Oreochromis niloticus: one gene and its partners. The protein of the gene in region 3 purifies or fractionates together with the protein of the main gene of each other region. This does not show direct contact. Links are inferred from orthologs where the notes say so. Each region holds a gene or a part of one and is shown on either strand. Other genes may lie near its edges. The genes, in order: brk1, cyfip2 and wasf2.

Region 1 (10,159 bases), on a different chromosome or scaffold from region 3:
GAGTTCACAAAGGGATCAACTGGGAACATACACAGACATCTCACTAAGAGCCAAATGACTGATTGTGCTGTTAGAAGCACTTGAGTGACAATAAAGCAGATAGCTACAGCTTCAGTAACAGTGCTATAAGCTTAGCAGTCTGACCTTTGATTGAAGTTGGTTGTGCTGGCTCACAGAACATCTGATGTGGTGTGCACATTTAAAAAGGGGCTCCAGAAGGACATTAATCTGACATCAGTGATGACTTGGTAGGTTTAATGGATAGAGGGTTAGGTGGATGAATTGATGCATATTATTTTCTTTAGATCAAAATAAGAATAAATAATTACAATTACAGATAGAGCCAAATCACATTACTATCAAGCTAATGAAAGAATAAATTAGAATAATATCAATTTCCGCCATCCTATTTCCATTTTTCTTACAGGCAGCAACAGAAGGCTAAGATTCTTTGTTCTCGTCTCAGTGGTAAGGAAGTAAAAGGCCTACCAGGCCAAAGAGGTGGTGGTATTTAGACTCCTGGATGTGTCCAACAGATTGACAGGTTACATGATACAATGTATACCAGTGAAGTGAAGCTGGAAAGTTGATTTTAACACTGTATCTTCTTTTTAGGCTAAATAGGCCTTCTAAAGCACCTCATTTTATTGAAGACTCCCCGAAGTGTCAACTCCCTTCAGATAGACTAGAGCAACGATTTTGTCAGGATAAGCCAATGATGTTAGAGGATAATTTCATCACAACCACCCTGGAAAGGTGTTTTATTAACTGGTGGATGATTACAACAGGAGTGTATCCTACTAATTAAACTGCATTAGTTTCACTCCCTAGTGTTTTATTATAGTGTGCAATTCACACTGTAACAATACAAAATCAAACACAACACAAAATTAGAACCAGTTATTTATATGTGTATATACTGTTTTAATGATATACTAGGAAAAAGTTTTTTTCGAACATTACTTTTAGCTAATTAATTCAGTTTAGTGTTTTCATTTGTACTTTATTCATTGAACTTTTCCCTTGATGAATAGTAGAAATACTACATACCCTACATTTAGCTCTGTTTTCAGACTGTATCAAATCAGCTATCCAGTAATGCACTTGGATTACATTCCATGACATCTGAATCCACAAACCACACCACACCCTGACCAGATGTGCCATGACAATGCTCAAGGGAAAACACAAAAATCAGTCAGTCCCAAGAGTCTTCCAAAGCGTTGGGCGGCTAAAAAACACAGAATATCACTACAGGAGAAGTCCCTAACTTGACTGTGTTGTTGAAGTACACAATGCAGCTGGATTAATATGATAAATCTCATCATAAGTTGTCTACTTATACCTGGTGAAAAGTAGGGTATTCGTCGTCTAGTGCCATTTTAAGAGAATGGTAACATCGCCATCTAGCGGTCAACTGCACCGCCTTGTTTAGATGTTTTTTAAATATATACCTGCTTTTTAGGTTAATATATTTTAAATTATTAACAAAATAATAATAATAATAATTTAGACATTACAGAAAATAGTCTTTATATTATTGCTAACAGATATGGTATAGTAAAAAATAGTGTTTAGCAGATGTTTGACCTTTTATTTATTTAATTATTATTTACCTTAGTACTGTCAACATAAAACACTCCAAAAGTGGAAGCTGTGATCCAGTCCTTTTCGAATCCCAAAAAAGCTCCCGAAAGTGTCGACGAGGTCCTCGTATGAACCTGTAGGCGGGTGTAATCTTTCTTTCTTGTTGGCTGATGGCCAATTATCACAGTAACTTCTGAGCAGATTCCCGAATACAAGATGTAACGGATAGCAGGATATCAGGATACTGACCACACACACATTCATATAGTCTGACATGATTGTTTACCCACAGGGGGGAGCCGTTAGTAAACACAGTTATGGCTCTTATTTTTTAAAAAGCCACCATGTTTAACAGCATGGTTTGTGTGTTTTCCACTTCTCCAGTCATTAGTTCTCAAGTCATTTCACTAAGCAATAAATAAATTCACTTCCTGTGACTTCCTGGAAAGTACCATTCATGCACACAAAAAGGGGGGATTGTTGTAAACAAACTGTAAATCTCTTAAGACATACCGATGTGAAATACGTTTTGCTAATAGAGTTTCTGCAGTTTCGGCTGTGTAGGTTTGTGTACGTGTCCAATATCAAAATTGGCAGTGGTCATTTGATAAATATTTGCTAAGTAAAAACTTAACATTATGTCATTTTTTGACTTATTTTGATTGGAGATTTAGACGTCAGTGACTTCCTCAAGTGGTTAGAAACAATGATAATTACCATACTGAGTTACCACATTTGTTAAATTCTTGTGCTACTTTATCTTTATAGATTGGTATCTATAAAGAAATAAATAAAAAAAATAGAGAGAGATTCCGATAGCACGTGAAAATTAAATGCTTTAAGTCCTTCTACAAAACGATAATAAAACAATACTACTACTACTACTACTACTAATAATAATAATAATAATAATAATAATTTGCATTTGCACTGAGGGGTGTTACTAGATTAGGCTACATGTCCCGCCCTAAGAATAAAAGCGAGGGCTGGACTTGGAGCAAATTTGAAACGTGATAAGGAAAAGCCTTTTAATCCGAGTTCACGGTTTCAGAAGTCTAAATCATCTGGATTTTTTAACAATGGCTGGCCATTTGAAAAGGTTTTACGACCTGACAGCTAAGCTGTTGTCTGGAGAAACTCTCCGTTTCTCTGCACTAAAGGACAAAGTTGTACTTATTGAAAATGTGGCGTCTCTCTGAGGAACGACAACCAGGGACTACACTCAAATGAACGACCTTCATTCTCGCTACTCCGCCGAAGGTCTCGTTATTTTGGGTGTGCCCTGCAATCAGTTTGGACATCAGGTACAAAGCGTGTTTGTTTTTTACTTGAGAGAGAGAGTAATGTTTCTGAGGTGACCAAAACTCCGGACTAGCCAAATCCAGGCCTAGCTTCCTTATTCTTGACATGTGAGAAATATGGCCTATGAGCCGTATTTTAGTAACACAACAAGTTTAAAGACATGCATGTGTGTTATCAGTCTGAAATGAAACAGTTTTAACTTTAGGAATCTTTTAGTTAAAATAGAGTGGGCCGTAAGTGTTCAAATACATGTAAAGTGTCTTATTTAAAAAAGTAATATATTACATGAAGTGTCTTATTAAAAGTATTCTGACTGTTACTAAAATATTAGCAAATTATCAGTGTCAAAGCAACATTTTAGCCTGCATATTTATAATATTTATAAACTCCTGGTATGACAATGCTGTTAACAGTATTGATTTTTATATATAATACAGCGCATTAATTTCTAATATCCTAAATTTTCAAAGATGTTCTATGTCCAAATACCATATCTGTCGGATACATTTATCAGGTTCATAAGCACGATTATTTACTGCTAAAATGTCATGATCCAGAAAAATACAATACAAAGTGTAAATTAGGGAATAAATCTCAAATACAAATACACCTGCCTCTATACTGCACCTAAGTACTCTAGAGGAAATGTAGGTTACACTACAATTCCTCTTATTTAGCTTGTTTAATTAAAACCCCACATAAATGTCTACATCTATCTAACAGTGCTTGTGTTTTGGTGCAACAGGAGAACTGCAAGAACGATGAAATCCTAAGATCTCTGAAGTATGTCCGTCCAGGGAATGGCTTTGAACCAAAGTTCCAGCTCCTCGAGAAGGTGGATGTGAATGGAAAGGATGCCCACCCCTTGTTTGTCTATCTGAAGGAAAAACTTCCATTCCCCTGCGATGATGCCCTGGGTCTCATGAATGATCCAAAGTACATCATTTGGAGTCCAGTGTGTAGGAATGACGTATCCTGGAACTTTGAGAAGTTCCTGGTTGGTCCTGACGGGGAACCTTACAAGCGCTACAGCAGAAATTTCCTGACAAGTGACATCGAGGCAGATATTAAACAGCTTCTTAAGAGAATCAAATAAAATGTGCTGGGAAATGTTATGGGTGATTTAAAACATAACAGTTCAGAAAGATCAATCAGCACATACACATATTAGGATAATATGCCATGCTTTCAGATCTCAAATTCCAAAAATGTTATAGCAGGCCTGGGTTTGTTTGTGATATTTTAAATGGATTGTTCTACTGGATTGTTCAGCCTTTTAATTCAATGACGACACTCCTTTAAATGTTTTTGTGAGGAGGGGTTTCTGATAAAAATGTAAAAGTTTGACGACCATTGTGAATGTCTTTAATAAGATCGCAAATATTTTCACTTGCTTGACTTAAAAGGAGAAATAAATGTTATTATAATACTTGTGTTGTGCTCATTTCTTACTTGCAATGGTAATGGACAGGTAGCCGGTTTACATCAGGCAGGAGTCTTTGTGGACTGCGATGTTCATATGAGTGAGAGTAGAGAGCAGGTAGAGGTATGCGCTGGAGAGAAGAGGAATAAAAGTAGAAGCGAGACAGAATGAGATAAAAACAGGTGTAAGACTGAAGATGCAATGAGAGGTAGTGAAGGTGGATGAGTTTTAATACCTGGGTTCAACCATCCAAAACTATGGACAGTGCACAAGAGAGGTGAAGAAGAGATTGCAAGCAGGGTGGAGTGAGTAGAAATGAATGTCAGGGATGAATTGTGGCCAAAAAATAGCAACAAAAGTGAAAGGAAAGTTCTCACTACAAGACAGTATTGAGACCTAGTATAGTTGGGACACGGTGGAACCCCCAAAACAAAAGGAGGCTGAGCTGAAGGTGGCAGACTTGATGGTGCTAAGATTTTCACTGGGAGTGATGAGCTGGATTAGAAATAAGTACCATCATAGGAACAGCTCAGGTTCAGCAGTTTAGAGGAAAGGTTAGAGAAGCAACTCTGAGGTGCTATTGACATGTTCAGAGGACACATAGTGGATATATCAAACAAATGATGTTGAATATGAAACTGCCAGGCAGGAGGAAAAGATGAAATCCTCAGAGGAGCTTCACGGATGAGCCAAGGAGGACATGCAAAGGGTTGGTGTGACAGAGAAGGATGTTAGGGATAGAGTGAGATGGAAGCAGGTGACCCGCTGTGGCGACCCCTAAAGGTAGCAACCGAAAGAAAAATTGTGTTGTGCTCATTTCTATAAAATACACACAAACATCCTTCAGAAATGTATGTAGGAAACTTAGGAAATTTCGGTAAATAGAATCTTCATTGGGGGAAAAAGTGTTGTATAATATTTTCACATCGACGCAACACTTTCCGGTACTTCCTGGGTGAAACCAGAGGGATACTGCAAGTCGTCCAACATGGCTGGCCAGGAAGATCCAGTGCAAAGAGAGATTCACCAAGACTGGGCGAATCGAGAATACATAGAAGTAATTACGAGCAGCATCAAGAAGATCGCCGACTTTCTTAACTCGTTTGGTAAGCTTTTAACAAACTCACTGGGCAGATTTGTGTAGATCACTAGCTGAACTTAGCTAGTTCAGCCAGCTGTTAGCATTGATGTTGATGTTTTCAATGGCCACTCCCAGCTAGCAGTTAGCGCGGCTGTTAGCTGTCAGCTTGTTTTTGTTTTGGAGGAGGATTGTGACATTTTGAAGAGGAATCGGCTTACATTTTCCTCCAACTACCTGTCCTTTAAGAGTCAGTCGTTTTAATGAATTCATTAATATACCAGATTCGACAGACGATAGGAAAGCATTAGCAGGCTGCCGTAACCGCTAATGCTAGTGTTGTCGGCCAATATGTATGCGGATGTGCCCTTTAAACCTTTTTAACCCAAAGTGACGGTGTGCATCTTTGTTAAGCAGCTGTTGAAAAACTGATGAAAATGTCATGCTTCGTCGTGGTAACCTCTAAACGTTCTAGTTTTTTTTAATTTATTTTTTTATTTGTTTTTTATTCTCCATCAGACATGTCGTGTCGATCTCGTTTGGCCACACTCAACGAGAAGCTGACAGCGCTGGAGAGGAGGATTGAATACATTGAGGCAAGGGTAAGTTAACTGAATGTAAAGTGCCTTTATTTCTTTATTTGACTTTGTCTTTTTCTCAAGTAACCATACCCATTACATAAACATGTCTCTTATTGTAGGTGACAAAAGGAGAAACCCTGACCTAGAAGTGGCCATTGAAACTCATAACATCCCCAACCTACCTGCCATCCCTCGCCCTGAATTTTTGGACTAAGTGTGATGGACTCCACCCTCCTATTTTGGGACGATGTGGACCTTTTTTTTTTAAATATATTATATGGCTGGATTTTGTGTTATTTTATCTCATGACGCATTTGTACAGAAGATGTATGTCTGACTCGGCTACCATTGATTCAAGCATCATTATATTCTATTACAAAACAAAACTAAGCTCCATTAGTATTGGTTTAAAATAAGTCTGGAGCACAATTATGATTTATAAATTTTGTATCACTGCAGTTTGACCATCTGTGTTGTGTACAGTGTCACTTCCAAATGAAAGCTGTATCAAAAGAGGAACATTTGCCTGTGCCAAGATGAACAATTATTGTGTACTTACATTTAATAAGGGCCTCCTTGTACAGCAAAGTGTTTGGTGATGTTTCTGAATTTAACTACTGTAATAAATGACCTTAAATAACATTGTAGCTGAACTTAACTTTTTTTCACCAGTTATGTTGCTATGTTGAAGATGGGTCTAGTTATGACTATTTTGAGTAATCAGACAGACACACTCACAATGTTAATACAAACTTGTAGTGTATATAGACTAGAGCTTGACATGAAACAACATATTAAATGGGTCAGATTGCTATTGTATACAGGTTTTGGTACAGTTAGAAGAATTCATTGCAATGGCATTAATGTGTAACAAATGTTTTATGAATAATAAATCATACTTGCATAAAGAGTAATGTGCATTCTGGTTGAATTGAATTATTAATAGCGTATGGTAAAAATAAAAAGCGGGGTTATAGCATGACAGTAATTTAATTATGTGTCCAGCAGAACATTAACAGTTTTCAACTCCATGTAAAACCTGCAGGGAAATTCTAACAGCAGCGGGATTAAGCGCTTTCAGAACGCATCCATATACTGCTATTACGAAAATGTAACGAAAACAGCCAATGAAATGGCGGAAATCTGCGAGATGTGATCGTTTTGCCCTGGGTTTTCCCTCACAGGCAGCACTACGCTATATCCCTTTGCTGTTCGTCCAGGCTTTTCTACCCAACTGAGCACTCACCAAACCACCAAACGTTTTAAGAAAATAAAAGTAGCAACGCACATTTACTGTGAGAGGATACACAATTTATGGAGAAGACAAACTCCACAGAGAAGGACTTTAGAAACCCAGGACTTTCTTATTATGAGACAAGAGTTCTAACAACAGTGCCACCATGCTACTTCATCCTAGCTTGTATAGGTTAATTTATCTTATCCACCATTTTTCCACTCAAAAGTTTAAACCTTAATTAGCTACTACTTTAAAGTCTTCTTTGCCAATGATTTGTTAATTTTAAGAAAACGCAAAAAACTAACCATGCTCTATATTTAAATACCAATAAACTTCTATATACGCTTTGTTGCTGTTTTATGTTTTGTTTTGTTTGTTATGATAATTATAACAACATGTAACCCCAGTAAGTCTTAACAACTAACTACGGAAGCGTGAGAAAACAACCAGGTTGAGAGACAACTCCATGCCTGTAAGGCAAACTCGGGGCTGACTCTTACGTTACCCATAATGCACCGGGTGACACCGATGCATCTTGGGATAAAGAAGGTGCCATCGCAGATAAGTCTTTGGACGTGAGATGAATTTTCTTCTCCGCAATTTTTCTATTACCGTTTTGAAAAAATAATAGTGCGGGTGAAAAAAAAGCATCAAAAAGCTTACACTGGTAAGTTGCTTCACGTTCAGAGTTGAAACTAAATCTTTCGCGGTCTCTCGTTAGCGCCGTTGATTTTGGCTTGAGAGACGTCTGTTTGATAACGTCTAGCTCCATATAATGGAATGAAGAAAAAGGAGGGCTTTGGTTTTTGTTTCTCTCACGCTAAACGAGTTCACGCGACTACAAGGGGAATTGTTATGTGTAAACGAGTAAAACCACTACGTATATTTTTAACGGGTATTTTTTTTTTCTGTTTTCTAGAGGTCGTGTGAGTGCGGAAGCTGTAAGAAATATGGGGGCTGACAAAAGGTGAGTAGCAACATTAAATGCCAGTGCAGCTCGCCATGGTAGGTGTGGCTTATCATAGTGGGAACGGGAATCTTGTGTTTTTCCCGTCTCTGATACATGTTCCGAGTTTAGGCGATATGTTAAAACAAATAGTATTCAAAAGTTGTGTTTAAACTGAAATGGCAGACAAAAGTAGCGTTGATTTCTACCAGCATTTCCAGATATGTAAAACCTTACATTTAGTTTCTTTTTAAACCAAAAAATAAAGGAGACTAAATCTGTTTTCGATAATACTACAGGTAAAAAGTTTTATTGCCATCAAATTTTCTCGTAAAACGTGTTACGTAATCCGAATAAAAAGTTAGGACAATACAAGAATGTAAAAGTCATTATCTGCCAATGAGTGATTGCCAATGTTGTTTTTTTTGTTTTTGCTTTTTTGATATGAGTAACATTTTTGCCTGTTTTGGTGTATTGTACCTGCTGTTTTCTACATTGCAATCAATTAAGTCACTTTTAGCCACTTCAAAGTATCTTTAAAGAACCGATGTTGCATTTATTGCAATTTCTGGTTCCCTCTCAGCCAGACATATTTCTGTCAGAAGGTAGAAGCTACAATCTTCTTTCCTTTTTTAAAAACAAATACAGGTTAAAAGAAAAAAAAATGTCACAGAGATTGAAAATGTGACATTTTTCATGCACATGAATAAAGGATTTATAAATTTCACCTTGCCAAAAACTGCTTCAATCTGGTCACAATATTTTTTTTTTTCCAGTGCAAAAAAACATCATCATTCATGTTAGAGGTGTTTCAGATATGTTTGACAGACTATCGGCCAACAAGTCACTTACAGCAGTTTGAATTCCAGCAGTCTTTTTTTTTTTTTTTTTTTGGCATGACAGTGCTAAGATTAACTGAGAGACAATGCATTGTTCAAGGCTGGAGTCATGATAAAACTAAAATGGTAGCAAAGTCATTGAAATGTTATACATGTTGAACGCTAAGGTGTGCTAAGTTGGTTTGTTTATTGCAGTATTAGTTGTGCTCCTGTTTGACTTTTCTTTTTTTTCTTTTTTTAAATGGCCTTCTGAATAGGATTAGTCGAACAGAACGTAGCGGTAGATATGGTTCTGACCAGTGCCGTGATGAGTCTGAGTGGCGTGACAGACGTGAGCGAGACCAAGAACGTGGTGATCACAACATGCGCCGCTGGGGTGACGAGAGACGTGGTGATCGTTATGAAGGAGATCGCAGAGGATCACGAGAAAGCCCAGAGGTGTTTGTCTTAATAGCCCTTGGGTTTTAATACTGCATTTGAAAAAACAATTGTGCAATGACACTTAGCAGCTGTTGTTGTTTTGTGTTAAAGCAAAGGGAGAGGAAGCGTCGTAACAGTGATAGATCAGAAGATGGTTATCACTCAGATGGTGACTACCAAGAGCAGGACTACCGAAGGGAACCAGGGGACGAGAAGAAGAGCAAGACCATCATGCTGGGGGGTCTGTCTCCTCATGTCACTGAGGATGATGTAAGTATTCAGTTGCACTGGTCGTGTACACCCTTTGGTTCCTTTTCTTTGTTTTTATTGTGTAAGTACCTTTCTAAAGGTATTAATGAATGAATGAATGATTGAATTATGATGTTAAGCAGCCTCTGCATGTTGTTGTTTAGATTCGTTTTGCCATTGACCAACTTGAGGGACCCCAGCCAGTGGATGTCAGGCTGATGAAAAAGAGAACAGGTGAGAACCAGTCATGTGACGGACCCCGACCTTCCCCAAGTCTTTGACCATAGAGCTAATCTGCTTCCATTCAGACCCATTTTCCCATAGAAGTTAGGAGATGACTATATCAAAGTACTTGAAAGGTTGTAAGAATATTGATTCAAGGCTTATCTTGTACACTGTGGAGCCCTTTAAGGTAAGTAAGAGCAGCATTGATTGCTATGAGTAAGTCAGTTGGCAGACCCATGTTGTTGTTGAGTGTGGTTCAAACAGTGGTATTC
Region 2 (10,908 bases), on a different chromosome or scaffold from region 3:
AGTAAATAAATAAAGTGCTCTTTCACGATACACTTTCATATCCCTGCTTTGTTAGAGGACTTCATCCTTCTGTCTTTCTTCCAAAGGCTGCCAGGAACTGTCTCGTCTCAAAGAACAACGAGGTGAAGGTATCGGACTTTGGAATGACCAGGTATGTTCATGAAGATCAGTTTTTTAAATTATTACATCACATTAATGTCACAGTGAGTCATAGCATGTGGTCCGTGTCCACTGTCCGTACCCTAGATTTGTTCTTGATGATCAGTACACGAGCTCACAGTGCTCCAAGTTCCCTGTCAAGTGGTCAGCCCCAGAGGTCATCAGATACTGCAAATTCAGCACCAAGTCTGACGTCTGGTCGTTCGGTGAGTTTGGGCGCTCGTCTGCCATTCAGCTGTTTGGTTTGCATTTCTGATTCACTCGTCAGAGCTGTTACGGTTTTGCAGGCTTGGTTAGAGCAGATTAAATCATATTTGTTTTCCTGATGGCACATGTGCTCAACTGTAGTTAAATAACTGCAGTGGTTTAGACATTACATATTAAACAATTTTTTTTATCTTTTGAAAAAAAAAAAAGGATCTGTGCTCGAACTGGAGCACAGTTTTCTTGGGCAGGCTATTACTGCAATTATCCAGGACAAAGCCATTTTTTGGTAAAATTTTATATAAAATAGCTTAAAAGCTAGCCATTTTCATGATTGGGTGACAATTAGTGGATGCACAATAAGCTCAGACAATTGCCGAGAGGAGATTAAATGGACAGAAAGCTTTTAGCTTGACGTGATCTTTGGAAAAAAAAAAAGATTCTGTATTTTGAAGTTATGACTTGCTTGTGTAAAACGGATGTGCTAAAACTAAGTAAAAATAAAACATATTATAACTTCTATAAAAGGGGTTACTACTTCTGTTTCTAAATAGAGTTGAATTATGACCTATTCTAAAAGGGTCTGGATCCAATTACTGACGTCCCTTAGAAATTGTGAAAAACAAATGAACTGTAGTGACAGTTTAAGCAGGTTATTGCTTTTTATTGGTAACACAAGTGTTTTCAATCATGATTCTATGCATTCAAATGGGAAAAGAGTAATAATTCAGCTGTATAGTATCATTCTTACACTGATCATGGGCAGGAGAAAGAGGGAAAAAGTTTGTCTGAGCCATCTTATAAAAGATTCTTCATGTCAAGATTTTTACTTCCTGGTTAAATAATGGTTTAAACTAAAAGAGACAGTCGGACCATCTACAGGCTGTGTGAAGTTCTTGAGACTGCAGCTGCTAAGAATATTAGGAACTCTTTCATTGGATTCTTTCATGCCAGCTTCAGTGGATGAGGCTACCAGAGGAACATTAACTCCAGACTAAACAGAGCTGATTTAAAGGATCAAAGTGCAAAAGCGTCTGTCGACACCATACGTCGCTTTCTGAATGAAGGTTGAAAAAAGAGACCCCGCTTTTGAAAGAGGATTATAAAAAAAAACCCTTAAACTTGTGTTTGATAAAATACAAATAGACAAGTCAAAGCGGTTCTTGGTGGATGAAGTTTGGGATATAAAACTAGTTTCCAAGTTTGGCGAAAAAAAGAAGCTTTTGAAGAAAAGAACGCCGGGGACAACGGATTTCATCAAGCCAATCTGGAGTGAAATACATTTATGTACCTGTGCCAGAGCTTTGTGCCAGTCACAGGCCATGCTGCTTCTTCCAACAGTATAAAGATCTAAAACATACTTCCAACAAGATGGACTGAAACAAAATCATTTGAGCAGAGTGTGGAAAAAGCTGAAACTCACAGTGGGGGGAAAACGTGTTCATCAAACCTGAATGAACCGCAGCGGTTTGAACATGAAGAGTCAAACAACCTACAAAGATGTGTGAGTGTGTGTGTAGGTGTTTGTGTGGGGGTAGGTAAGTAGGTGAAAGGGAGGTGGGCGTCCTCCTGTGAAGAATCACAAAAACTGCTCAGCTGCACAATATTAAAATTAAGGATCAAATACTTTAGCTAGACGACTTTATTTGTTGTATTGAATGAAAGCAAGATGAATTACTTTTAATGTAAGACCTTACAGCAGAGCAAATTTTAGGTGTGTGTGTGTCTCATGTGTAGGTGTGTGTGTGTGTTTTTAATGGGTAGCAACAATTTTGGCCAATTCTGATCTGTAGCAAATTACCCTCAAATGAGGCTAAAAATAAATATGTTTCAGTTATATAAAAAAAATAAATAAATAAAAACACACTGCACTGGACTAGAGGAGCTCACTGTTAAATGAACGATACAAGGCTCCTACCCTCTTGACTAACATGCTTCCATATTGTTTAACAAGTGCTGTCTCCGTGTCCGCCCCTCTTCAGGTGTGCTCATGTGGGAGGTGTACAACGAAGGCCGACTCCCCTATGAGAACCGCACTAATGCAGAAGTGGTGGACTCCCTGAACGCAGGCCTGAGGCTCCTGAAGCCGCGCTTGGCCCCGGACTCTGTCCACCTACTCATGGAGTGGTGTTGGAAGGAGGTGAGGACATTACCCTTTTTTCAAGCAGAACTTCTGCTGATCATAAAATGAGCAAACGATTGACTGTCGTTTGTTTTCTGTTCTGTTCCTAGAAACCAGACGATCGCCCAACATTTGGGCTCCTCTTTCACGAGCTGGCCTCCCTTTCAGACGCCTGAACCAACATGTGATTTTGTGATTTTTATATATAATATTTATTTTATTTATTGACTGTAACCAGTTGCTTGTCAGTTGTAAAGTTAGATGATTCCAAAACAATTTTATATCCTGGATTTTGCACTTTATCTCTTTCGTAGCTTTGTAAGTTTCCCCTGAGAGGGCTCACACAGTCCATTCACACAGCTACTGGTGCTTCCTGCAGAATCATGTAAAGGTTTGAGTAATTCTATAAGCCATATAAAAGTGAGATGTTTGCTTTTCAGTCAGCTGACTGTCATTAAACAGAATGTTTTACATCTTGTCACTTCTGACTCTCTAGTTTCCTCCACTACAATAATGAAATCTTGGCATAAGAAATATGTTTGTTTCTACATGAAGAAGTTATTGAAGTTGCCAGATGTTACATATATTTAGAAATACATGCAAAAGGCTTTCCTGCTTTATGGAGATCACTGAGTCACAATAGTCATATTTTTGATGATCATCCATATACTGTATATATAAGATGGACATAGCTACAACAAAGTCATGAGTCATGTTTTTTTTTTTATGAATTAATTTTGGAGTCATAGGTGACCACATTTGGTCAAGATTTATTTATTACTCATTGCTCGGATACATTGTAATATGTGGTAAGTAATTTGACTCATTGAAACTGTGCTAAATTTGGTACCGGGCCACGAGAGTTGAGCCTCCGGTGTTAAATTTATGGTTTTCAGAGTTTGTGTCATTAACTTGGTTTCCCTGGGTCTTTTCCCGTGTTGTAGTTGTGTGTCTTATTTTGAAAGAAATATTTACATGTTACCATAGCAACCAGAGAGCACTAAGGGCAGAGAGGAGGATGTTACTCTCAATGTTGTTGGTGCATTTCAGGAGGACGTTGCTAATAAAGTAACACAATTACACAGTGAATTTGCATTTATTATTATATTTACAAAATACCACAGTTTTTGGCTACGTACACACTGCAGGCGAAAGCGCATCAAATCCGATTCTTTTGACCCTATGCGACCCATATCCGATCATGGTATGACAGTGTGAACGGCACAAATCCGATATTTTCAAATCCGATCTGGGTCACTTTCGTATGTGGTACTGAATCCGATACATATCCGATGTTTTAGAAAGCGACTGCTGTTTGAACGGTCATGTCGCATTAAATCCGTCTTTTACCAGTTATCAGCGCCGGAGAAGCGCCCGAGAAGACATCGCGAACGCTTCCTGGCCATCCAGTGTAGATGTCAGTGAAACTGTTGGGAAGACAACGTGAACATTTTATTTGTACTGTATAATCTGCAGATTCTGACAGAAATCTGCAACTATCCTTTGAAGCACCGCTCCTCTCTAAAACAGCAATAAGGATAATTATTAGGTTATCTACATTATTATGTAAATAACAAAATAACTTAAAGCAAAAATTGGGAAACGTAAAGTCCGAAGTCTTTATATTAAGGGCCATCAGTCAAACAATATTGTTTGCTCTGGGTCTAAACAGAGCGCGTTGTGTGTGACGTCTTCTTTTGCGCATGCGGGCCGCTTTGATCGTTCACACTAGAGCACGTTTGCTGTCACATTTTATTTGTAGTGTGAACAAGCAGACAAAAAAATCGGAATTGAGCATTAAGACCTGCAGTGTGAACGTAGCCTTTGTCTCGGGTTAGGGTTTGTCTTTTCTTTTTTGTTGTATTTATCAGCAACACCTTAAAGGCCGGTCTGTTAAAATATTGTCTGACATTAAACCGGTCCTTAGCGTAAAAAAGGTTGGGGACCGCTGGTCTATACCCACATCAATTTTTCAGTCAAAGAAGCCATACATTATTGGAATGACTCACTTTTGGAGCCAGACTCCAGTGGCCAGTCAAAGAATTGCAGTTTCTGGCACAGACACAATAACTTCCGTTTTCCCCACATCAAATATGGAGGTGATTGGAGGTGATCAATAATTCTCTTGTATCATGTCAGCCAACGCATTCTTTTCTGAGGATAGTGGCAAGACCTGGAACTGCAGTTTCCTGCTGGGACATAAAGTAATGTGCAAAAGTCTTGAGCCACCACTCATTTCTTAATATCCATTATAGGAAAATGGAAAAAAAAAAAAAGGTGCAGAAATCTTTTTAAACATGTGCAAACATGCATGGAAATCCAGTGTAATTTGGCATACCTCGGCCTTTTCTTTCCATTTCCCTTCCCTAAGGATGTCTTCTTGACACCCACTGACACCATTTCGGATGCGGTTTTGGCAAACAGTAGATGGATCAGCTGAAGGGTCAGGCACATCTCTCAGGTTCTAAAGATACCATTTAAAACTGATTTGTTGCTAAATTGTGTGTTATTTGCAGATAGAATGAATGTTGGTTCATTGTTTGAGTGCCTTGGTGGCTTTTCAATGCTTGAAGTGTTAAAGCAGCCAATGTATAAAGAAAAACTTTGAAAGACCTTCAGAAAGCCTGGAGAACTATCACTCAAGACCACATTAAGAGGTTACAAGAAAGTCAAGAAATCAAGAGTGACTAAAGACCTCTGCACAGCATTTTCTTAGAGAAGGCCTTGCATATTTCATCAAGCCGATACTGAACACAACACAACACAACACAACTCAGTTACAACATATGGCTTGATGGTAGAGGAGTCTGGGTGCAGAACTGCACCTTTCTCCATATGAAAACATCTGGCATCTCATGAAATGGAAAATACTACAAATCAAACCCAGGAATGTCGAGCAACTAGAATCCTATAGCATTCAATTTTTGTGATTTCTTTGCTTAAAATTGTCCATTTTCTCAAATTAAGCATGTTATATGTTTTCTATGTTGTCGTGTGAATAAAAAATAGGTTTATAAGATCTGCAAGTGAAAATAGCTTTCTGTGGTCTTTAAACAGTTCACACAACATCGCAAGTTTTCTGGAATCAAGGTTATAGCATGTTGTCATTATAAAGTACTGTATTCAACACATGCATTTGAAATAATAAACAATAATATTTAACATGTATAGGTCTACTACATGCAACTTGAATTCTAAATTCTAAATAGTAGTACAAGTTGGGTGAAGTAGGGGCCCTTTACTTTTTTTCTATATCCTATTTATCATGTAATTAGAATTCATACAGAAAACTGAGAATTTATAACCGCCTCCTTTAAATGAGGTTACCCTCAGTTTCCCTATACATACAACATATACCCACAGCTTTTGATGTTATCAATTTAAAAGCCTGAAACGCATTATGTATTTATCTGTACCCAAAGTATTTTTAAGCAGAAAAATAGAAGCTCAAATGAACGGAATCAACATGTCGGGGCCCCTCTCATCATCGCCTGTGCTCCACTGTGACTGTCTCTTTAAGAAAATGCACTTGCAGCCATTTTCTGCTCTTTGTGTGGGGTGGATTAGCACCGGGTTGGTACTGGGCGAAACTAGAGCATCAGTCGACATAGAAGACGTGGAAAAAAATAAAATAAAAACCGAGGAAACATTGGATCGCCGTCGCAGACCGCGACACGGTCCGCCCGCTTTAGTTTGTCGCCGGACGGACATGCAATTTTCAGGTATGTGGCAAAAAGTAGCGATGGATGCAGACGCAGCGAAGAAGATGAACGGGGCTGGTGATGTGCTTTGGGTAGTGATGATGGCTGGAGACTGGAGTGCTGTTTTCCCCCCTTCTTTTTATTTTTCTTCCTTTTCGCATTTTACATCCTTTCCCTTTACTTATCTGTCCGTGCGCAAATGTAACAATAGGGGGATCCTTGTAAATAGGAGGGACTTGATTGGGATCGAGCGCCCCGCTTTATCGCGGATAATTGTGGCACATGAATGGGATCCCCGTTAGCTTACATCGGCATCGTAGCTCACGCTGAGATGGGTGGGGTGAGGAGAGGGTGCCTGTGTGGCAAGTGCACTGATGAATGATGGAGCACGTAAGGCTCCACGGTTTTCTGACCTGATAACAGCCGTTTCGCTGCACAGAGCGAAAAAAGAACGTTTTGGTGTTTCAGATTGCTCGGATTCACAACGATGCTCTGGCTTTTTAATATTTTTCCTTAAAGGTCCTCTCCCCTCTTTCCAATCGACTAACGGGCCACAGCATGGCGAGATGCACAGGATTGTTTCACAGCTATCGCACCAGCAGGCAGGCAGGCAGGCCCGTTACTGGTGCTCAAATGACAGGTTCACCCACTTCCGTCTCAGACAGGCTTAGTGTAAACCCAGATGTTTTTCCTTTCCATTTCTCTCCTACAGACGAACCTGCCAGTTTGGGTAGAAATATGAGCCTGCCATTGCTGCAGACTCTCTGAGCTGTAAATCTGTATGCCAGACCCTCACCCACAGGCAGTGATGTAATGCTTGAATCTTGATGCTTTGCTTCTGCTAATAGTAAGGATTGCAAAATAAAACCACAATGAAAAGGAAACCTGGTGCCATTAATAGTCAGGTAAAATTAGGATTATTTTAAAGTCTTGTTTAGGTTTATGATAGTTTTATGGGAAAACTTCACATTTTTGACTGACTAAAATGAGTGTTTCTTTAACTGAAAGTGTAATTTGCTAAGAATTATAATAATAATAATAATTATTATTATTGTCAGTATTAGTAGAAGCAGTAGTATTAATAAGAATAATTTGTTGCAATTCAGGTATTGTTGTTAATATTAGCTTGCGGTGCTTCGTAACCTCGCTCATGTGTTAAAACACACACACACACACACACACGTTAATTTATGATGTTATTTTTTATGTTCATGATAGCACTGTATATAGTCAAGTGGCAAAAAGTATTCTTCATATACACTAAAATATAGATAAATAAATACATAGGTTTATTGTTCTTCTTCTTTGCAAAATACATATTCATTGCATAAGATAAAGTAATCAATTACTCGTATTAGTAGCATCACTGCTCGATTGACACTTATTTACAGATGTACATTCCAATGAACCCAGAGTACCATGGCACTAAAATCTGTTAAGCAAAATGTATTTCCAAAAACTACAGCATGCATGTAACATACACATATGTCAACAACGTACATGTAGTGTAGATCTAATGTCAACGACTAACAAGTACACGTAATGTCAGCCACATACACATAACATACACGAAATGTCAACAACATACATGCAACATACATATAATGGTGTTCATTTTTCAGGTCAGGTACTTCACGTACATTTATAATTTGTAAAGATTTGACTGTTATTAAAAAAAAAAGTTCCCAAAAGCTACATAGATGTTAATAATCCTGGTAACATAGACAGTTTACATAGTAAGTTACAGATTCATTTGTGTCTAAGAGAAGTTAAGGGTCAATACGTACATATGCTACGATCATTATAGTAAGATAATAATTAGTTGCAACTCAAGTACTATTTACATTACTGAAGTGAATTCAACGTTGGTTTCTACGAAAGTTGGCTTACAGCCATCTGAAGTGAAAAACCATCAAATCATTTACTGTGAGGAAGCATGAAGTCGGTCATGTTCATGTTTGTCATGTTTTAAAATTAGAAGGAAAAAAAGACAATTAGCTAACACACCTAAACACCACCACAGCATCCCGCTATTATTGTCACGGAGAGACGTCTGGACTGCTAAGGCTAGTTACCAGCTGTATGTCAGGCTAATGTGGTCTAAACCAGTATAAAGCTAGAAATGGAGCTGTCTAACATGTCCCTGTTTAATACATCGGCTGAGAATAAATCATGAGTGGTTAAACTTGACTCATGAATTCGTCTCATCCCCGTTTCTCCTTTTAAGAGCTATGCTGTGAGTGCAACCAGGCAGTTCAACGTTAAAAGGGAAGATTGAATTACATCCTTTAGCTTATTATCTATTTTGCTATGTTTTGGGTAGTGAGGGGGGCTGGAGCCTATCCCAGCTGTCATGGGGCAAGAAACAGGTTAAGGCTGATTCTTGATATGAAACACCTACAGTCATATTAGAATCACCAATTAACCTAAACCCAAGCATGCCTTTGGGTTAGGGTTAGGTAGCTGGAGTAACTAGAGAGAACCCATAGGAGGACATGCAAACTCCAAACAGAAAAGCCCCAGACTGGAGTTCACACCAGACATTCTGTCACTGAGGCAATAGTGCAAACCACAATGCCAATGTGCTGCTTTCATACCAGTTCCATTCTATTATATTGGTTAAAATTAACATTTAAACATCCTTATATCTCCAGAGTTCTTCAGCACACAGTATATTAAGGAGCAGCTGAGTAGTCAGTTGTGAAAGATGTGTTGGAAGCAGTAAACTGGTCAACAGTAAGAACTTGTGCAAATGCTAAATTGTGATAGCTAGAAGACTAATTAAGGGCATCTCCTAAACAGAGGGCTTTGTGGGGTATTCCTGGTATGCATTAGTTAGGGCCTACCAAAAAGTGATGCAACGTAATCCACTTGGTGAAACGGCAGTTTCTTTGTCAGGTACTAAGGCTCGTTAATGCTTTTTTGGAAGGAAAGGCTTACTTATTTGAAGAGCTGAAGCACAAATCGCTGGAAACTTAATTCTGGCCATGATGCTGACCCCTGTTTGTGCTCACAGCAAGCATGTGAGCATTAGAAGTGGCCCATGGTGGGCTGCTCTGATTAATCATCATGTGGGCGGCTATATGTGTGCAGTGTTTACCTGGGAAAGCTATATAGGTACATAAGCTAGAATATTGGAATAAGTCAGTGTGATCATCAGGGAAGCATTCTGCTAGGAAACCTTGGGGTCATTATCATTCATGTGAGTTTCATTTTTCCACTTATCACCTACCTAAACATTGTGGCAGACAACAGCATTCAGCACATTTTCTCCTTTAGCAGAACAATTTGCTCTGCAAGAGTCCGATTTGTTGATTAGGCCTTCAGATTTCCAAGATGTAAATCCTGTGGGACGTGTCCAAAGAGGAAAAAACAATCTGTGCAGGTCCCACCTCACAACTGTTACTTGCCCAAAACAGCTCAGTGATTCAGGGTACAAGTACAACTATTTTGCAGTTGACTGATTTGAAAAGCACAGTGAGACAATGAGTCTAGATATAAATAACGAACTAGACAAAGAAAAGGGAAGCAGCATAAGCTGTTGTGGAACTGTAGCAGTCAGATGAAGTTATTATTATCACCACTTACAAATGTATTTTCATAAAGTTGCCAACATAAATACAACTAAATACACCTGGTTTACTTTTCGTTTGCTGTCTGTACTTGCCAAGCTTGGTGATGGTTATGCGAGGCAGGTTCTTGTTCTTCCCCTAGTCTGTATTCATCTCTGCAAGCATGACATCACAGAAATCATAAGATGAAAGCAGGTTTTTTCTTCTTCTTCTTCTTGTGCTGCTTTCAGAAATGACAACCAGCCTGTGAAACACCTCAGCCACACACCGTCCCCTGCACAGGATGCTCTGCACAGACGCTGCTGGAACGCACATTTAGCCGCAGAGTTAGTTGGTGTCGCTGAACGTTTTCTAAACGGTCGCATGCGTGACTAAATGCTCGAGATCGGTATTGTGCCTGCCTTTGATGCTGATCACATATAATCTTATTGCATGTGGGTGAATATGCTGTGTATTACAAAGCTAGCCTTGGGTGGGAGATCCCATGGAGTGGTGCGAGGCCGGAGTTGACACACTTTCTCTCACTTTCTGTCTTCCTCTCAGGCAAGATGTATTACACAAAGGCCTAGCAGCGTAGAGTGATCATATTTTTTTTTTCTGCCTGTTACATCATGCTCCATGTTCTCACTGCATCTCGTTGCTTTCCTCTGCTTTATTCATGATATTCTGGGATCTTCTCACCACCTCATGGTTTAGTGCTGTCACGAGGATGTCAGACCACAGCTCTTCATGTATAGAGGCTGCAGTTATAACGTGAACTCGGCGGGGGGGAGGGAATATTACTGTGTGAGTTTTGTGAAGCGAGTTGTTGTCTCGTTGCCTCGTTTGGCCCTCTTTGGTTGTTCAACTAGGTTTCCAAGTGCCCAGAAGGGAATGAAGGGGCCCTTTTTGCTGGGCGAAGATGCACATACACACAGAGACAGACAGATAAACCAACTGTTTAACAGAGCCCGGTATAGGGTGGGAAAGTTTGTTCAGCCAACCCAGGCTTTAGAGCGCGTCTGTATTTGCATGCACAGATGGGACTTTAGCTGCACTGAGCGCGTTTGTCTGCCCGACAAAGCCCCTGTAGCGAGCTGCGTGTTTCATTTTCTGTATGCCGAACGGTTATAAATAACCAACCGGGTCTTAAAAGAATCAGACAGTGTGC
Region 3 (11,397 bases):
TGCAGCTGTGGGCAGCAGGCGAGCCATCCTTCACAGCAGAGCTCAATCGAATCATCTCGTACATCACAAGGCCACAGGTAGGCTGCGCAGAGCGCCATCCAAAATACTGCAGTGAAAAATGTTTCCTTCACAAAGTTATCCGAAACTGAAAGAGCAAATGCAAAAATAATCAGAGGGTTTGAAATGTCTGAGAGTGATTTCAAAACTCCCTAACATCATTTACTTTATGTAACGCAACCTGAAGACTGGTAATTTTTTAACCGTTTATGGGACTGTAGAACAATGAGACTATAGTAAGCCTACAGCATAACACACTTCACAAGATTACAGATAAGCAATGAGAAATAACAGGATGAATACAACTTGAAGTTATAAAGGACTTGTATGTGCAGTAATACACATATTATATAGTCGAATGCACAAACTTTTGGCTTGTGACCCTTTAAAAAGTGCTTGCTATATTTCACGAGGAAAGTCACGGAAGAAAAATCAGGTTTTTATTTGCAGACGGTTTTCTTATCTTTCCTGTCTGTTTAAAAATCTGGTCTCATGACCCCCCCCCCCCGCCAGATTTATCTTCTGACCCCTTGGAGAGGTCCCAGCCCTTAGGATGGAAACCACTGGTCCAATAAATAACGCACTCCCCGAAGGCTGCTCTCCAGCTCAGTGGGGGCTTCAAATTTTTGTAGCCAGGAGTTAGACCTTGCCAAGCCTTAACAGAAATCAATAAAAAAAAACAACTTCATTTTTTTTGACTACTACACTTCTTTGACTGCAGTCGAGTGTGGGGGTTAACATAGCAGTAATATGATCAGTCAGGCACTGTCAATATGCTGGCAGCAGAAATCTACCAAATCTGGAGCCAGTAAGGACTTTTTGTTCCAGACAGGAAACTCCCAAACAAGAGTAAAAACTTACGCAACACCAAGTGCTGGAGAAGTGGGAAGGAAAGTTATATATGTAAGAATTAAAAAAAACTGTGTGCTGGTTTAGTTTGGTATTATTTAAAGGGGCTTGATAATGCTCCATGTTTTTATTCTCAGACTTAAATGAATTCTTATTTATTTCATACTAGACCTCAGGGAAGCATGTTAGTTCACCTTCTGTGTCTCACTTTAGAGCCAGCTTTCTTGTGATTGGCTGCCCCTCACAAACAAAATGTTTTGAATTGCAGGTGGGTGGGGCATCAGTGCTCACAGACAGAGCTCCTTGTTTGAGATGACCGTATAAGGATAGCCAGTCGGTGACATTTCAACAGAGCTGTTTGAAACCTTTAACTTTCTCTGACTGCATGACTTGAAACTTTCACCGTGCTTAATGTGAGCACAAAGTAGGAGCAGCGTATGTGACAGAAAATAAGAAAAAAGCAGAAACAGTCCCCGTTAATTATTCAATGCAACAAATTAAAGCATCTCACGTGTGGCCTTTTTAAACAGCCGCCATCAAATTATGAGTTTATCGTTAAACAATTCTGGTTTATTCAAAGATATTTCGAGCCATGACTCTGCAATGTTCTCACAAATTACACAATTCTGGCCACTTTTCTGAACAACTTCTCCTTCTTTAGCTTCCCCTCTTCTCATTTGAATGCTAATTCTGTGTCGCGCTGTTTCCAGACCTCCATCCAGCCAGTCTTATGTGACTCTTTCCTCTTGTCTGTCCCCAGATGAACTGCTCCAAGGTTTTATCTCCAGGGCGGGCTCAGCCAGCACAAAGCCCTGCAGCGCCAGCCCATTGGCTGCTGTGTGCTGAGGACTGGCTCCTTCCAGCTACACACAAAACGTGTGTCGCATATTCCTTCAGGTGTGCCACTTGTCTGAGCCTTATGTCAGTGCACGTGCTGCTATGCATTCTTATCACCGGTTCAGTTGGAATAAACAATGCAATGCATATTTAATCATGCATGCAATAATGTTCAAACGGCCTTTGCGCTCTCCTGCCTTCCTTCCTGTCTTTGTCTCTCTAGCATGGATGGGGGAGATGCAGACTTTCTGAAGACTGTGTCGGGGCTGGGATGTGAAATACACTGTTTTGATCCCAGCAACTCTAATGCATCTGGTGGTCACCTTGGCAACAGTTTGGCTAGTAACCATGGCGATGGAGGCGTGGTCAGCCAGCACAAGATGTGGCTTGAGTGGCGAGCTCCAAAGAAGCGCGCGCACAAGAGGAGAGGAAACCCGGGTGGTGTTTCTCAGACACTGGCAGACATCATGGCAGCTCTGGGACATCACACAGTAAGACACGCACGCATGCACACACACCGAAATGTAGACAAACAGTGCCAAACAAACATACCTTAGAGTCTTTTCACCCCAACATACCCCGAAAGCTCTTTTACTCAGATGTTCCCATAGCAACAGGGCTCTGCGCCATCTCTGGCTACCATGGCAACAGTTTAAGTGAATGAATCACCCAATTGCTTCCTGCAGCCACAAGAGGGAACTGCATACCTGGAGTTTGATTATGTGCGGTGTGACAGAATTGCAAGCAGTCCAGTATGTTCATCTATAAATAATTAGTGCCACAGCATGGAGTTAAAATATACAATAGCTTCATATGCTGTCATATGCTTCATGTAAGCAATAGCGCCACCATAGGTGGATAAATGATCAAATGAGTGGGTTAAATTTTTTTTTGGGGGGGGCTAAACTTTCTCACTGTTAGATGGACAAGGAAAATTCTAACACAGCTGTATGGATTCAGTGGATGATGCAGAGGAGATTGATACAGACCGTGCACATTTGTTGCATTTGTTAACACATTTGACTTTCTGTTATTCAGATTTCATCCAAAAATAACCAAACCTGGTGCACAAGATGTTTGGACAACTCAGAACACTGTTCATGTGCTTAATTAGAGATTTCATGTATTGTTTCCCCCTGATTGGACAAGCAAATCAATTTTGGCTGCTTCAGTGTCTGATTGCCTCCAGTTTGATCCAAATTTGGTTCAAGTATGTAGAGCCCATGACGTAGACTACACAAGTGGCTGCCATTGCCAGCTTTTAAACCTGTGTGGCTCAGTTGTTCCAACATTTATGACCGACAGTGCTGTTAATTAAATCTACTGTGATTAACCAGATTTTTTGTGAAAGCTGAGTTCAATTTTACTCGCCACACTCAGTTCTGATTACTGTCAGACCTGTTGAATCAAGAAATCACTTAAATACAACCTGTCTAACAAAGTGAAGCGAACACGTCATGTTCACTTCACAATCTAAGGAAACAACTGAGAAACAAAATCACTGACGCATATCAGTCTGGAAAAGGTTACAAAGCCGTTTCTAAGGTTTTGGGCCTCCAGTGAACCAGGATGAGAGTCATTATTCACAAATGGAGAAAACTTGGAACAATGGTGAACCTTTCCAGGATCGGCCGGTCTACCAAAATTACCCCAAGAGCGCATCAACGACTCATCCAGGAGGTCACAAAAGAACCAAGAACAGCATCTTAAGAACTACAAACCCCTCCAATGTGACTGAATTAAAACTGTTCTTCAAAGAAGAGTGGGCTAAAATTCCTTTACAGTGATGGAAAAGACTCATTGTCAGTTACTGCAAACACGTCATTGCAGTTCTTGAAGGAAGGGGGAAAACACTGTGTGAAAGCACTGTAAGCTGGGGCATATGAAACATTAATTGACTGTAAGGTCACAAACAAGATCGCCAAGCGCCATGTAATTGTGGCACTAGAGGTTATAACAGTACAAAAAAAAGAGTACTAATTACTGCTGCATGCTAAAGGGGGAGGGCAACAGACTCAACATTTTAAGTATTGTTCTATTTTGTGACTTTTTAGCTTGTAAGGATGTTTTTTCAACAGTTGCCAGTGAGCTGCAATCGATTTCTCCGAGAACTGCAGCTAATAATTCTAATAATTTGATCTTCAATATTTGATTATATATAATCATATGTATGATTAATAAGCAACAGGTCCACTATGGAAAGCAGTAAAATGGTAAATGAACTGATACTTTGAGCATTCAGAACACTTTCTCATTACAAGCCTAGTCACCCATTCACATATACGTTCACACTCCAACGGATGCATTGGGCGAAACTCCAGGTTCAGTTCGACATGCAGACTAGGGGATGCAGGGATTGGCAGACGACCTGTTCTATCTCCTGAGCCACAGCCACCCTCATAGCATGAATATATCCTAATAAACTACCATTAAACATATAAACAGTATTGGGAATTGTTCTTAGTAAAGCTGAGCTGATCTCAGTACCATCCCAATTCACATCAGCTGATATGCAAATCTAATATGTTTTTTTTACAGTGCTTTAGCATGCTGACTGGAAATTCTGTTCCTGACTTAATCAGTGTCTTTTCTGTTGTTGCTAAAAGCCTGCTTTGTTCTGTATCTGGTGTTTTGCTAACTTAGGCTTCCTATGTATGTGCTTGGGAGGGTGGGGAGGTGCTAGACCAGAGCCGTACTTTCCTCTGTTCTTTCTTCTCCTTAGGTTCACTTCCTGTATGCTGACCTGCTAAGCGGCGAGTGGCGCGTTTTTCAGAATTGGATCGAGGCAGGAACTCTACAGAATGTCCACCATCTTGTTGCCAAGGTGCACCTGCAGTGGGCAGGGTTTGAGGTGGCCGGTAGGGATGAGGAAGTGCTCCGCTATTGGTTCAGTGTCCTTCAAGGTCTTCAAGCTTGTGGACTCAAGCTGGTTCACAGCTCTGCAGGAGAGGGTCACAGTGTCCTAAAACAGACAGTAGCAAATGCTCACAGTTCCTACACACTCAGCTGGGTAAACACACGACACTGAGACTCACACACTGATGGATGAAGCTGCGCACACATTATCCAAAGAGGGGGAAGCAGCTAGTGAAGTTTCCTGTTTTTCCTGGGATTTCAGGCATACACAGTTCTTCACGTGACAACTCCCTCTAGTGGACATGAAGAAATCTGCAGTTAAAGGGTAAAACCAACTCTGAAACAGAAACTGTATTTATATTTAAAACAGCATTTTATTGTATCCAAATATTGAGCAGAAGAAGGGCTTGCTGTTTTAACCAAGTTACAGGCCAAATAATAACAACTATTTTCAACTCAGATTTTGCTGTGTCACAAAGGATGTATGTATGTTCCAACTATTTCTGAACGCAAAACAGCTGTCTGACAGGCTATTCTTTATTTAACAGTTGTACCATAACGCTGTGGGTTTGTTTGTTTTTTTACCAATGAATCCCAGAATGCAACCCTTTGACCTGAGTCTGATCCAACAGGTTAACTTCTTTGAGTACATCACTGTAAGCTTTAATTACTTATATGTGCAATAAAATTTTACATCAAAGAAGAGCTTAGATTTTATAGTAAAATGAGTGTGTATACTGTGAAAATGTGTTAGAGGAAAGCAATCAAGTTGGAGTTTAAAACCTAAATTCCCACCACATTAAATTCCAAATAAGGGTTACTCTGTTAGTGACTGGTTGTAATGCAATGGGTCAGGTGTGTCAGAGCACCTATAATTTGTGTCCTGTGGAAGATAAACACCTTGAGGCAACTATTGTTTCAATGTTGCACTATATAAATAAAACTGAATTGAATAAAAAAATAATTATCTCTTGTTTTTTTCTATATTTATCCATATTTTCCTATATTTATTATAGCTTTATCCATTCGAAAAACTGTTATGTGCTTGATATGATTTTTCCTGTTAAGACATCCAATTGTGTCCACGTTTCAACCGTTTAGCTGTTGATTTGAGGTGAAGTTGAAGAATTTGAAACAGCCCGAAGCATGACGCTGCCACCATCATCCTTAACCGCTGGACCGTGTTGTTTGGTTTGAGAGCCTCAACTTTACTCTTTACAACTTTAGAGAATAGCTTAAGCTTTATCTTGTCCATTGACCATCTCAACCATCAAATCTTTCTTCTGAAGGTATTTGGTTTGTCCATGTGGGCAAATTTAAGTTGAGCTTGAAGATGTTGATTTTGGAGCAGGGGCTTCCTTCTTGGTAAGCACCTTCTCAGTCCATGGTGATGCTTCACTGTGGACAGTGACACTGGTGTTTCTGCAGTTTCCAGTTCGCAGTAGGCTTGAGCCTTGGTGGTTCTTGGATTATTCCTGAACATCCTAACCAGTTTCCTGTCACTGAGGGTGACAGTTCGGGGCTTCTTCTAGGCCTTGGCAAAGTGGTGACACATCTCAATAACTTGTACTCACATATAGTTGTTTGTACTGATGATCTTGGAATCTGTGGTTGTTTACAAATGACAAGGTTTAATGTCTTTATGAGTGTATTCTAAAGGTTGTGTTTAATAATTTGAGAGAAGCACACATCAACCTACGTACTGTATTTACATGGACTTGATAGTGGGAAACAGCACAAAAAAGTAAAAAGAAAAAAGAAGTCTACAAGCGTTCAACAATTAAATTACTTTGATAGTCTATTTCCTCCAACCACATTGTATGGACACTTGATCTATGAAGGAAAACAAAAGCAGCTGGGTGTAACAGTGTTAACTTTATATGCCAAAACAAATGTGGGCACAAGATAAAGCCCATTGCAACATGAAAATAACCACACCCGTCTCAAATGTATTCACCACATATTCACAGAGTTGACGCCAACTTCTATGTGATTGAGTCTTCACTGGATGCACGCTAACTTGAAGCTCTGCAGTTTGCTCGGGCTGAGCTGAGGTTAAGCAGGCACTTAACACTCACCGAGGCTTACTGGACAACCTGCTTGTCGGTAGGAGCTTTTCTCCACAGCACATTTTATCCAGTCATTCCTAATGCCAGTCATTCCTCGGACGCGTTCCAACTCGCTTGAGCGCACGTTGGAATGTGGCGCTGCCTCCACCCTCTCTTACGTAAATTGCGGACAGATGTTTGCCGCTAGTTTGGGTGGAGTTGCGCTTTTTACGTTGCAACTTCCACATCCTGTTCTCGGTTATAGCAGGCGACAGGCCCAACAGCCAATCAGCTTCGAAGAACTCCGCCGCTCGACCAATCAGAAGTTTGCAACCTCGGGACTTGGGCGATCTGTTTAGCTCGGTCTCGCATAGAGTACCGAACAACATTTCTTAAGAAAAATCTTGAGACAATAACAACTGTAGGGCTGTATAAAGAGACGCCTACGGTTACCAGGTTTGACGGTAAGTGAAATGTCTTTGTTGAGTGTTGTTTTGTTTAAGCGAGTGGCGTAAATGTATGTTTGTTTGGCTTTTCCTTCGATATAAGAGGCGCCTAGAAGTTACTTCCTGCTCTGACAAGGCCGACATCCCAAATTACATTTAATCCATTTAAGTGAAGTTGGGGACGCAAAAAAAGTGTAACCCGTCTTTTTTACCACGTATTTACTCACGTCAGAGAAAGTTAGGAGCTCGGTGTAAAGTTGGGGAAAAAAGTGCAGTAAAGCTGGCTAATAGCACTTTGTCAAAGGCAGAGTGGGCGACCTGTCAGTGACGAACAAGCCTCTAAGCCTGAAATGGACGCATTCCTTCATTCACGATTAATCACTAAATCCTCCAGGTAGCTTGGTAATATACACATCCCGAGGTACGAAGGTAGCGACCCTCCATTTTTTCCCGCTTTCTTTTTCTTTCCTTTTCTACACACAGTAACATTTATGCCATGATTCACCACCAACAGGAAAAAACTTGTAATTAGGCAGCTGCAATGGGCAACAGCAGTCACAACAGGCTGTACTTAGAGACTAAACCAAAATCAAGGCCGCACTGTGTTGAAAGCAGGGAGAGTCTGCAGTCACTGCAAATCTCTGACCCCTTAATCGGAACTGTCGTTTGCTTATCTTATTCAGTCTGGACACTGTGGACCTACTGCACTGCGTGAGCTCACACCGCTGCCCTGACTGTAATCTGTTTAAAATAACGTGATGTGTTTCCACTGCTGTAAGCAGTGGGGAAGTCACAAATCCACCTAGTTCTGCTCTTTGCTATTTTGGACATATTAGATTTGTCCACTCTAAACCGGGTGGGTGGTGCATGTTCGATGGGTGGAGCGAAGGCATAGTTTTGCTTCTGCTTTAGCTCTGTCTGGGTCAGTGTATTTTTGTAGGCGTCTGTCTCATGTGACTTATTTAGGAATGGAAGGAACATGTTTTTTGTTTTTTACCTCAATTTGATTAGTCTGCGAATTGTTAGGACCAGTTCACAGTCGTGTCATAATGAAAATAGGTGCTCATTGGGTGCGAAAATATAGTAAAATTTAATATTAATTTGATTACATTTATATGTTTTTCACTCCCCTGACCTACCTCTCCTTTTCCATCAGGGTTGGGCTGCCCTACCCCCAGCACACCCCACCATGCCTCTGGTGACGAGGAATATAGAGCCGCGGCATATTTGTCGCCATCCCATTCCTTCTAACATCCGCAGTGAGCTGGAATGTGTCACCAACATAAGCCTGGCCAACATCATCCGCCAGCTCGGCAGCCTCAGTAAGCTTCTGTTATGCTCGGGTGTCAGTGTGTGTATGAATGGTTAATGAGCAGTGATGAATATGTATTACATGGATGTTTATTGTTTTTAAACAAAGGTTAATGCATTTTTATGTAGATATGAATTTTCATTGGCTATGTATGCGTGAGATAAATCCTTTAATTGGTGCAAGTGAGAAACTTGTGTGTGTGTGTGCACGCGTGCAGGCAAATATGCAGAGGACGTGTTCGGGGAGCTGTTTGTTCAGGCTGGAGAATTTGCCGGCAGGGTGAGCTCGCTTGGAGAAAGAGTGGATCGCCTGCAGGTTAAAGTCACCCAGCTGGACCCCAAAGAAGAGGAGGGTATGTACTTGCACATTTTACTGTTAACGTTACTGCTTATGCTGGTATCAGTGTAGAGTATTGGTTTGAAACCTCCTTTGCAGAGAATCTAATGAACACAATACATGTTTAAAACATTGCCGGTCTGTTTCTCTCAGTTACTTTGCAGGGAATCACTGCAAAGAAGGCTTTCAAAAGCAGTCTGACCCAGGACCAGCAGCTCTTCACCAGGCCGTCTCTGCCAATGCCTGTACAAGACACTTACACGACCTGCGATCCTCCTCCACCGCTCAACCAGCTCAGCGTATACCGGTAAGATGCTGCACAGACCAAGCTCATATTTATCCACTGCAGCAGCTCCAGCAGTTAATAACAAGAACACGTGCAAGCGCATGTGCCCATATGGAAACACACATGCATGGGAGATTCTTGTAATGACTGTGCATTATTTAAGCTTACCCCTGTTACATGTGCTTCTTATCAAGGAGTGGGTCTCGGAGGTGTCTAGGCAGTATTAGGTTTGATTTAAGGAGGCTCAGTCCAACACAACTGGCAGTTTTACACTAGAAAACGCATAGTACGCCTTTGCAAAATCCTGGAGAATTATGGTGTCGACGCCATCGTCTTCCCTGTTGTTTTGTTTTTAGTGTGTAACCTGTTTAAGTCCAGGCAGTTTGGGGGTTTTAATACTTACAGCTGTTTGACAAGCCACACTTGTTGGTTTTGCTGTTAAATAACCCACCAATCAATTGATTGTGGGAAGATACTCTGTGGGAAATAGCCCCAGAGGGCAGTATGGTGGTGTCGTGGTTAGCACCATTGCCTGGGTTCTCTCCAGCTGCTCCAGCTTCCTCCCACAGTCCAAAGACATGCATTTTATGTGAATTGTTGATTATGAATCAACTGTGGGTGTGAATGTGACTGTGAATCGTTGTCTCTCTGTGGGAGCCCTGATTGGCAACCTGTCCAGGGTGTACACTGCCTTTTGCTGTGTAGTAGTTGGGATAGGCTCCAGCCTAGATAAGTGGAAGAAAAAGGGACGGATGGATGCATGTAAAGCGTCTTTAGTCACAAGCTAAGATATCTGTGAGTGTAGATCATTTACAAGGCAAGATGTGTCATCTGAAGTGTGAATAATCAGAAGGCAGATGAGAGTGAGAGGATGATCTCTGCGTAATTACCCCAGCAATGTTAAATGTGATGTGTAGAGCGGTGCCTGGTTTGAATGTAAATGTGGTAATAATTTGACTTGGATCATTCTTTGGGGACAATGATTTATCCGCGCAGTGTGATGTGGATGTGACTAAAGACATTAGTGTATTTTTAGTGAAGTTTTCTTTTAAAAGGGGAAGTTTACTGGCATCTTAAGACTATCACACATGGCAGATAACCATCTTTTAACTAACACTGTATTTATTTTTTTTTGTTCATACTTGTAAGATAGCACATTGTGCAAATGATAACTAGAAATAATTATTAATGTCTGTAAATTGTTGTCTACAGAGACGATGGGAAGGAGGCCCTAAAGTTTTACACCGACCCCTCCTACTTCTTTGACCTGTGGAAGGAGAAGATGCTGCAGGACACCAAGGACATCATGAAGGAGAAACGCAAGCACAGAGTGAGACTCATAAACACCCTCATACGCACAAAGACATGAGTCATTACATAAGTAAAAGCAATCTACAATTAGTCACATCACATGAAATTGTTCGAATCCAGTGCTAATCTTGCACTTTTTAAACCGTCTCCTTAATGAGCAGAAGGAGAAGAAAGACCATCTGAACCAGCGGACCCTCAATCCTCGAAAGATCAAGACCAGAAAGGACGAATGGGAACGGCGTAAGATGGGAGAGGAGTTTGTTGTACCAAAGTCTGACTTGATGTAAGTTTTCTGAGATGCCTCCTTTTTGTTTATCAGTCATTAACAGTGACCGGGAATCAAAAGAACAAAAACCATCAAAGTCTAATTATAGTAAAATAATATCTTCACAATAGTCCATCACAAAACGTCAATCATTTTCATCCAGCGTCATCCACAAGGCTGCAGTGGCTCTGAGCCCTGACATACCCAGTAGGCTTTAATGTGGATTTCAAGCATATCTTATAAATAATTTAATTAATAAAATAAAAAGTTATTTTTTTCTCTTTACAAAGTAAAAAAACCGATCAGACATTATTTTGCTCATTCTTTCCCCCCTTATCACCGGATCTGTACACAGTGGTTTGGGTGGTATGTCCTGTCAGAAAATGTTCTCGGGGGGTTGGGTGTAGAGCTGGCCGTCATTGGAAAATTGCAGTAAACAAATGTGTGAGTCACACTGGGCCCTGTTCTTGATGGGACTAATATTGTTGCATACTTTTATACGTGTGTGTGTGTGTGTGTGTGTGTGTGTTTGCATATGTATATATGTTTGTTTTTTATTTTAATATATGTCATAATTAATAGAATGAATACAACAAATATATGTGCACAAATTAGTTAATAGTACTCATTATAACTCAATAACATCAAAGAGTCCTAAATTCCTTGTTTTGGATTATATTCTTTTTACCAAAATGGGAAGTTTTGCTGATTCAGCTCCTGCAGTGTTTCATCGGCCTCACAGCAGGCCTGATAAGGAGAAAAAACAGTCCGATTTCCTGACAAGCTGTATAGAT

Evidence for each region.
Region 1: the proteins of wasf2 (region 3) and brk1 purify together in Homo sapiens (co-immunoprecipitation; 3 studies listed by BioGRID and IntAct, with this or other methods). This does not show direct contact. The link is inferred for Oreochromis niloticus from reciprocal best matches to the Homo sapiens genes WASF2 and BRK1.
Region 2: the proteins of wasf2 (region 3) and cyfip2 purify together in Homo sapiens (co-immunoprecipitation; 3 studies listed by BioGRID and IntAct, with this or other methods). This does not show direct contact. The link is inferred for Oreochromis niloticus from reciprocal best matches to the Homo sapiens genes WASF2 and CYFIP2.

The regions. Positions count from the first base shown.
Region 1 is NC_031970.2:16,914,618-16,924,776, forward strand, and holds brk1 (putative protein BRICK1), read left to right. Parts: upstream 1-5,147; 5' UTR 5,148-5,300; coding exon 5,301-5,418; intron 5,419-5,909; coding exon 5,910-5,992; intron 5,993-6,090; coding exon 6,091-6,117; 3' UTR 6,118-6,885; downstream 6,886-10,159. Other genes in the region: rbm5 (RNA-binding protein 5), read left to right, coding at 8,159-8,175, 9,251-9,431, 9,525-9,683, 9,827-9,896. UniProt on the Homo sapiens protein: Involved in regulation of actin and microtubule organization. Part of a WAVE complex that activates the Arp2/3 complex. As component of the WAVE1 complex, required for BDNF-NTRK2 endocytic trafficking and signaling from early endosomes.
Region 2 is NC_031966.2:30,315,606-30,326,513, forward strand, and holds the start of cyfip2 (cytoplasmic FMR1-interacting protein 2), read left to right. Parts: upstream 1-6,022; 5' UTR 6,023-6,207; intron 6,208-10,908. Other genes in the region: itk (tyrosine-protein kinase ITK/TSK), read left to right, coding at 1-1, 87-151, 247-365, 2,346-2,503, 2,596-2,661. UniProt on the Homo sapiens protein: Involved in T-cell adhesion and p53/TP53-dependent induction of apoptosis. Does not bind RNA. As component of the WAVE1 complex, required for BDNF-NTRK2 endocytic trafficking and signaling from early endosomes.
Region 3 is NC_031985.2:22,539,179-22,550,575, forward strand, and holds the start of wasf2 (actin-binding protein WASF2), read left to right. Parts: upstream 1-6,965; 5' UTR 6,966-7,111; intron 7,112-8,249; 5' UTR 8,250-8,282; coding exon 8,283-8,415; intron 8,416-8,622; coding exon 8,623-8,757; intron 8,758-8,894; coding exon 8,895-9,048; intron 9,049-10,239; coding exon 10,240-10,357; intron 10,358-10,499; coding exon 10,500-10,621; intron 10,622-11,397. Other genes in the region: methyltransferase-like protein 24, read left to right, coding at 1-77, 1,667-1,803, 1,967-2,234, 4,466-4,771. UniProt on the Homo sapiens protein: Downstream effector molecule involved in the transmission of signals from tyrosine kinase receptors and small GTPases to the actin cytoskeleton. Promotes formation of actin filaments. Part of the WAVE complex that regulates lamellipodia formation.